Nothobranchius furzeri: one gene and its partner. The protein of the gene in region 1 purifies or fractionates together with the protein of each later gene. This does not show direct contact. Links are inferred from orthologs where the notes say so. Each region holds a gene or a part of one and is shown on either strand. Other genes may lie near its edges.

Region 1 (4,039 bases):
AGAAGAAGCTGTGATGTATCTTTAATGATAGATGGAATGGAAATTCAAAGAGTAAAAGAAACCAAATTTCTTGGAGTCATGTTTGATGAGAGTCTCACGTGGAAATCACATGTAGGTTATATAAAGGGGAAAATCGCCAAAGCCATGGGTGTATTACATAGAGTCAAGTTTCTACTAAATTGGTCAGGGTTATTAACATTGTATCACTCACTGATTGAACCATATTTATTTTATTGTTTAGAAATTTGGGGAGTCACTTGCAAAACTTTTACACAACCGTTGTTCATTTTGCAAAAAAGAGCATTGAGAATCATTAATAACTAACTATAGAGATCACACTAATCAATTATTCATTAGATACAAAATACTGAAATTTCCTGACTTGGTAGAGTGGAAAATATTGCAAATAATGTACAGAGCGAATATGAGTAATCTACCAACTAATGCCACATTTCAGAAAATGTTTCATGAGAGAGTAAGTGGGTACATGTTAAAAGGAACTGATGTCTTTAAGAAACCTAGATTCAGAACCAAAGCGAAGGAATGTAACATTTCTGTAAATGGTGTAAGATTGTGGAATGCCATTAACAGGGAATTTAAAGAATCAACTTCACTTGCTATATTTAAAGATGTATAAAATCTAATGTATTTAGCAATTATGAAAAGTTGAACTGTAATGTCAAAGATTAGACATGAAAATATTAGAAAGTGACTGATGTTATATTGTGTTTGTTTGACGGATAATTTTATTTTGTAAAAAGGGGCAGAAATTATAAGACTCTCTTCTATCTGCTCCTTTTTGTTCAAATTTTTTTTCAATATGTTAATGTATGTTGCATTTGTTTGTGTTTATTGTATACATTTTGAATGAAATAAAAGATTAAAAAATAAATAAATACCAGGCACACCAGTGAGAGCAACGAGATCCAATCTCCAGCCAGAAAAGTTTGTTCTAGTTTATCAAAATTAACAAATATAGAATTCTAACGTCAGTTGGAGTTTACTACTGGTAAAAAAATAATAATAAATAACTAAGAAATTATTACATGATATTTATCATCATTAAAATAATGTGTATTATTAGTTGCCGTTATAAAATGTTAGTATTAAAATATTAGTAAAGTAACAATAACAGTTGATGTGTCTCGCCTGCTTTTAAAATTATTTTCAATTAATTTTGTCATGTCGGAACTTCATTTATCTTCATTCTTTGTCTTCTGTCGGACAATTTTCGCGAAAGAGCAAACCCATACGTCACTTCCTCCTCCTGTGAATCGCTCCACACGTGAGCGACTGTTTGTTAACTCGTGTCGTTGTTGCTGTTTTGTGCAGCTTATAAGACAAATTCGGATTTTATGATCATCCCTGGCAGGAGTATGGATTCGGCAGAGGAGGACCCGCAGCTGGGTGAGGAGTCAGAGGAGGAACACATCGAATTATCGGATGGAGAAGTAAGTTTTATGCTAACTTTGACTTAAGCCAGCTGCACTAAAGCACCTGTTTTGAGTTTAGCTAACTGGTCAGGCTCTGTGTTGAAACCATCGACACATATACGGTTGAAACGGGAACAAGAAACAACGATGATGGGAATGACATAATTAAGTCAAGAGTTATTTAAAAATATTTCTGTGGTCTTTGTGTTTAGCTTCAAGAAGCCCTCTCTAAAGGGTTGCTCAAACCTGGGATGAACGTCCTGGTGGATAAAAGCAAGACGTTCGTCAATAATGTGGTGAGTAATTAAGGTCAGAGTAGTCATTATGCTGTTTTTATTATGAAAAAAAAACATACTTGTACTTTTTACTTTGTATATAATAGATAAATCCTGCATTTTGACAAAGAACAGAATAGAAACTCGCTCCCTTTATTGTCTGGGTGGGAAAATGTCACAACTGGAGCAGACAGGATTGTAAAACAGTAAGATTAAAGAGTAAACAATAAGAAAACATACAACGGTATTGCTTAAAATATTAAAAATACGTAGGAATCCAAAGATGTGTTGTAAACAATCTAAATATTTATTTGTTTTCTTTTCTCTCCGTGGCAGTTTGCCTAACACATTTGTTTTCCTTCAGGAGGGATTGAAACTCTGTCTTGCGGAGCTGCATAAAGATCTAGCCTGGGTGGAAAGGTTAGACATGACCAACCCACCTGCTGATGAAGTTCTCACCAACGCTGAAGGGAACGTTTCTGCTGTGTCCAACGGAGAACTCAACGCTGATGATGATTTCCAAAGAGAAATGTTCTTGTAAGTTACAGCTGAGGTGCAGTGAACGTCAGCTGGTGGTCTACAGGCCAGGCCACATCCAGCCCACCAGACTTTTCCACTTGCCCCCCAACTCTTTGGCCCCTAACTTCCTACAATTGGGAGACTTTAAAGTTTAGCAGCAAGTTTTATTTCCCAAATATCAGTAATTGTTTACGTTATTCAAACACGACTGAAACCACAGTAAAACAGTGTTGATGGAAAACAAAACCATTTCAAATATTAATAATTTAAGACACAATAATACTTGAACTTTATTTTAGAAGAGCTTCTGGCCCTCAAGGTGTCTGCTGACCTTGTCCATACGTAGCCATTAAAGACGAATATCTGCCCTCTGAAAAAATAACGTCCACACCGCCTCGTTTGTAGAATTAGTCATGTGTCTACTTCCTAAATGATGAGCGCACCAACGCGGGGTCTTGTTCTATGAGCTAGGTAGTGTTGCTGGACCCACCACTACACGTGACCGCATAAGTGCATTGTTAGGCACATTGATAGGCGTGCCAGACTTGTAGGCGGCAGTCTTCCTGCTCAACTTCAACATAACATGAAACATGGCGCCTATCTCGTTTGTGCAGACCGATAAGGAGGTAGAATGGCTCTTAAATGTAGTTTTATAACTAGTTCAACTACTAGTTAAATGTAGTTTGATAATGCGAGCTCGGCTCTGAGGGCATCCATGTTGTAATGTAAACACAGGTCGCACATGGGCAGTCAGCATTTTTGTCACAGTGATGTGAAACCTAAAACTCCGGTTATTTCTGTCCACACAGAAACCGAGAAAATGCAAATCTTCATTTCAGCTGGAGCTTTTAAAAAGTTTAGTTTTTGATGCATAAATTGGTTTTTCTTGTGGATGACAGGCCAAATTGTAGAAAAATATCTTCGCTTTGGGAGGTGTCCGATAGCGATGGGTACCGAATTCGGTACTTTTTAAGGTACCGACCGAATTCCACAGTACCACCTGAGCACCGATTCACGTCATTTCAAACTGTGCCTCGTTTCGGTACCCGTCCTTCATAACGAGAACTTGCCTAGACAGCTGCGCATGCGCAAGAGTGTTATGTCGTCGGTTGCTGCGAGCCAGTTGTAAACAGAGCAGCATGGTAGAAAGAGCGCACGCTAAAGCTTGGGTCCACTTCACTAAATGTGATGGGTAACAGGGTGATGATGAAACCAGCGACAACGATCTGAGTGAGACATCCTCATCTTAATCTGCTCCAGTAGTTAAATAAAATGTTTAAGATAACGTTAGCTTGATATGTTAGCTTCCGTTTCGCTAATGGTGTGTTCGCTTTCTCCTCGGAACTCCGAATTTCCGACTAGAAGAACATGAACGCGCTCTAAAGTTTGGCTTCACTTTACTAAATGCGACGGGTGAAGATGAAACCAGCGACAACGATCTAAGTGTGAGGCATCATCGTTTTAATCTGCTCCAGCAGCTAAATAAACTGTTTAAGATAACGTTAGCTTGATATGTTAGCTTCCATTGTCACCATTGTTATCAGCTAATGGTGCGTTCGCTTTCTCCTCGTAAATTCTAACTTCCCGGTAGGAAAAATCAAATGAAAAAGGACGGCAAAAGGAATGAAGATGCACAGTAAATTTAGTTCACAGTAAAGATGTTTGCTTCAGTTTAATTATCAGCTTATAAAACTACAAGGACGATGTTAAAATACAAACAGTTGTATGTTATTTATTGTGATATATATCAAATATTGTTATATATTGAGAAAAATATATATTTAATTATAAAAGAGAATTAAAATATTAAAC
Region 2 (4,223 bases), on another chromosome or scaffold:
GAACACTTAAATCATTGCCTTTACGAAGCTAAAAAAAATGTACTGAAACTTAAATCTGCAGCCTTGACCCAGTAAAACGTTACCTGGTAGTTTCTAAACCAAATCCTGTTGTCTACAATGGTGAAGGTGAAGACGTGGTCCACAAATGGCTGACTCCTAGGGTGGTAACGTGGAGTAGAAAACGTCTAGAAGGAGGAAGTTTAATGAATGCACGAGTCAATGTTTTACAGCCTTAATTTTTTGCTTAAGCTGCAGATAATGCAACGTCAAAATTTAGCTAAATTTTACATTAAATGGTAGGTTTAGTTTTAGTTTTTACAGCCCTCGCCTCTGGAACGGGCTGCCGGAGGATCTCAGGGCTGCAGAGAACATTCATGTTGTTAAGAACAGGCTCAAGACCCACCTTTTTAGTTTAGCTTTTAACTGATTACTATTTATTGCATTGCTTGTTTTACCTATTTTAATTACTGTTGTGTTACACATTTATGTTTTATTTGTATAATCACATTTTATTGGATATTTTACATCATACATTTTACATATTTTCCATATTAGCTTGTTGTTGCGCTTGTATTCTTGTTATTTTACGTCACATATTTTAATCCTTCCAGTGATTCCTCTGTGGAGCCCTCTGCCTTGGGACCGGTGGCAGTGGCTGGGGGTGCTCCTTGGGTAGTGCCCAGGTAAATGTGGGGGGTTGCCACCCTCCCTCCCAGGGCGCCCTGGATTGGTGTCTTGGCTGCTGCCGTCGATCTGCTGCTGTCGAGGCAGATGGCTCCCTTGATGGCGTGTCTTTCATTACCTGTCCAATCTGAGCTCAGCCTAGTGTTTACTGTGGTCTTTTAATGTGTTATGTGTACGAGAGTGTGCGTGTGTGTCTTAATGTGTGTGTGCGCGCCTGGGAATGGTTTGCGGATTTGGGGTGAAAATTGTTTTAAGTGTGGGAAAGGGAGGGAATGTGGGTTATATGGGTCATTTTAAGCTGTTAAGCACTTTGTGTTGCATCCTATGCATGAAAAGTGCTATATAAATAAAGTTTGATTTGATTTGTATATTTTAAAATGCTATGAATTTTGCATGATGTGCAGCCCCCCATTTTCACTATGAATACATACCTGAATGAAGAGCTCTTTAAGTACAGCGTAGTGGGGCTCCGTGTCAAATTTCTGCACGAGAAATAAAACTCATACTTCTGGAGCGTCGACTAAAACATTTATCCAGCAAACGAGCAAATTCATTTAACACTTAAGGATGCTCGATACTCACAGGATCAAACGATAGCAGTGGTCTGGATCCTTTCAGGCAGTTTCCTGTCATTTTGAGTTCAGCCAGTGTATGAACTGTAAAGACGATGGAATAAATTATTGATGCTTTGCAAAGCAGGTACCTGTGCCCAAGACTTATAAGACAGAAGCAACTTACTGTTCTGAACCAAAAACTTTGCTGAAGGTCCGTGCGGGCAGTTCGAGATCCTTTAGAGAAAGAACATCATTACATTTACCTGACAGCATTCTAGGCTAACAATCTGCGTGGATCAAACTCTCACCACATGTAGAGGTCCTGCTTTTTCTTAGCCTCAAAAAACAGGCACTTGTTGCAGTTTTTCATCTCACACACCTGCAAAACAACACTGATCTCAAACACTGCTTTAAAATATACGATGGTGCAAAACGTCCTAAACTCTAAAGCAAACTCACCTCATTGATGACAAACAACTTGTCCTTCCGGTCCATTTTTGTATCTAGATAGAAAAATAGTCTGGTCACTTGGGTTCAGCTCAACATGGAGAGGGTTAACTCTGGTCGTCAGTGCAGATCGAGCTGAGAAGGTCGTATTTGCATACCAACCTGCTTTCGCATGAGGCATCATGGTCCTCAGGTCCTGCATCAAGTGTCTTGTTCTGAAGTTGATTCCTCTAGAGGAGAAGATTAGAACTCTTTCCTTGTTGGTCCATTTGCCCTGTTCACAAGTAATGATGACATCATAGCATTGGATAAATACCCAAGTGAAACACCTTGTTAGGCACCCTTGAGGCTTTTTAAATATCTGAATACCAATAAAAGTAACTGAAGAATTCATGGGTTTTTCATCTTTTGTCAAAAGGGTAAAGATTAGAAAATCACTTGAATAACTTATTTGTCTGACTGTCTATTGTGTTCATGGGCTGGAGCAAATGAGTGGAAATTAAAGAAATCAAAAACAAAAGGAAAACAAAATATGACATGTCAGATTAATACAACTGGTAACTTAAGAAAAGCCTAGCTCCACATAAAATATTCAGTGTGTGGATTTACATAGCATGACTGTGTCCCTTACAGTATGCTGCATAGTTCTGGAACCCAAGTTTCATTTTTAATTGTAGTTTTTAGTGGTCGAAGGTTACAATAACAGCTTACTGCCTATGCGTAAAGACATACACCTTTGTTATTTTTCTTCGAGTTATTAAGAGTTTGTGCAGCTGTAGCAAGTGAATTTCCCCATTGTGGGATCAACAGTCCATTCTAAATTAACACTCAACACCTTTAAACACAAATATGTGACTGCTAGCGAAGCATTAGTAGACCTTACTGACCTTTACTCACTTTTGTATAAAATAATTATGTAGTTAAACAATTTAGAACGAGTAAAAACGAACCTTTAGGTCCGTGTGTTCACTAGCAGACTGCAGGCTAACAAGCTAACATACCCCAACACTTACCATTGAGACCGGTGCTGGGACTGTGACTTCATTTTTCGTCTCTGGTTCAGCTTCAGCTTGACTTTCTCTTTGGTCTACAACAAATTTACCCTTTTTAGCCTTCTTGTTGACGGGACCCTGTCCTCCACGTTTTCTTTTGGATGCTGCCATGTTTCCATGCAAATCTCGCGAGAACCACACAATGTCCAGCAAGTTCACCCAGAGATGAACTCCCAGTGGCCCGAGGCGGTACTGCAACAGAAATTGCGTTCAGAGCAGAGTGAACGGCATAAATGTAAATTAGTCAGAAAAATATTAGAAGTTATATAGAAAAATGCCAACCGTATTGATTTAATGAAATCATTTGCTCACACCCAAACATAAAAATTTACTCCTGCAGCTGTACATGCATTTTTCATGGTTTTTGTTGTATTTTTTTTTTTTACTTTTCAGCTATCCCATTTCTTCTTTGTGAAATGTCATGCCGTTTCTTTTAAAAATAGCATTCATTTTATTAAATATCAGTCAAAAACAACTGGTGCAAAGTTAACTCCACAATCTGCAGCACAATATGGCAGTGCTTATTTTATTTTATTGCTTTTCATGAACTGATAAATGTTTGTAAATTGATTCAGGAGACAATCCATCCATTTTCACCAGCTTATCCAGGGTCGGGTCACAGGGACAGCAGCCTAAGCATGGAGGCCAAGACTTCCCTCTTCCCAGTCACTTGGGCCAGCTCCTCTGGGGGAATCCTAAGGCGTTCCCTGGCCAGCCATGAGACATGGTCCCTCCAGCGTGTCCTGGGTCTTTCTTTAGGTCTTCTCCCGGTTGAACGTGCCCAGAAAACCTCACCAGCATCCATTAGACATCCTAACTAGATGCCCGAGCCACCTCAACTGGCTCCTCTCAATGTGGAGGAGCAGCAGGTCTACTCTGAGCCCCTCCCGGATGACTGCGCTTCTCATCCTGTCTCAAAGAGAGCCCAGACACCCTGCGGAGAAAACTCCTTTCAGCCGCTTGTGTCCGCGATCTCATTCTTTCAGTCACTACCATAGGTGAGGGTTGGAAAGTAGATCGACCGGTAAATCGAGAGCTTTGCCTTCCGGCCCAGCTCTCTCTTCACCACAGCAGATTGGTACAATGCCCGCAATACTGCAGACGCAACAGCAATCCGCCAGTTGATCTCACGCTCAATTTTTCCCTCACTCATGAACAAGACCCCAAGATAATTAAACTCCTCCGCTTTCTCATTCTGTCATTATCATCTATGTGGAAATAAATGCAGATTGTTTATTTTTTGTATATTTCCTCCATACCATACAAAATACAGCTGCCACACTAATCCTGATCTAGCTGCATGATTTGATTTATTGGACTTTTCCAAAAGGTGTAGGTTGATCTCGTGCTCCATTCTTCCTTCACTAGTGAACAAGATCCCGAGATACTTAAACTTCTCCACTTGGGGCAGGCCTCATCCCTGACCCGAAGAAGGCATTCCACCCTTTTCCGACTCAAGACCATGTTCTTGGATCAGATGAGCCAA

The links. The genes of interacting proteins can lie anywhere in the genome.
Region 2: the proteins of ebna1bp2 (region 1) and bxdc2 purify together in Homo sapiens (affinity purification with mass spectrometry; 4 studies listed by BioGRID and IntAct, counting the BioPlex papers as one, with this or other methods). This does not show direct contact. The link is inferred for Nothobranchius furzeri from reciprocal best matches to the Homo sapiens genes EBNA1BP2 and BRIX1.

The regions. Positions count from the first base shown.
Region 1 is NC_091748.1:70,081,350-70,085,388, reverse strand, and holds the start of ebna1bp2 (probable rRNA-processing protein EBP2), read left to right. Parts: upstream 1-1,154; 5' UTR 1,155-1,355; coding exon 1,356-1,451; intron 1,452-1,645; coding exon 1,646-1,729; intron 1,730-2,072; coding exon 2,073-2,245; intron 2,246-4,039. UniProt on the Homo sapiens protein: Required for the processing of the 27S pre-rRNA.
Region 2 is NC_091746.1:58,361,469-58,365,691, forward strand, and holds the start of bxdc2 (ribosome biogenesis protein BRX1 homolog), read right to left. Parts: upstream 2,889-4,223; 5' UTR 2,849-2,888; coding exon 2,699-2,848; intron 1,960-2,698; coding exon 1,848-1,959; intron 1,742-1,847; coding exon 1,698-1,741; intron 1,618-1,697; coding exon 1,547-1,617; intron 1,473-1,546; coding exon 1,423-1,472; intron 1,341-1,422; coding exon 1,267-1,340; intron 1,167-1,266; coding exon 1,116-1,166; intron 186-1,115; coding exon 84-185; intron 1-83. UniProt on the Homo sapiens protein: Required for biogenesis of the 60S ribosomal subunit.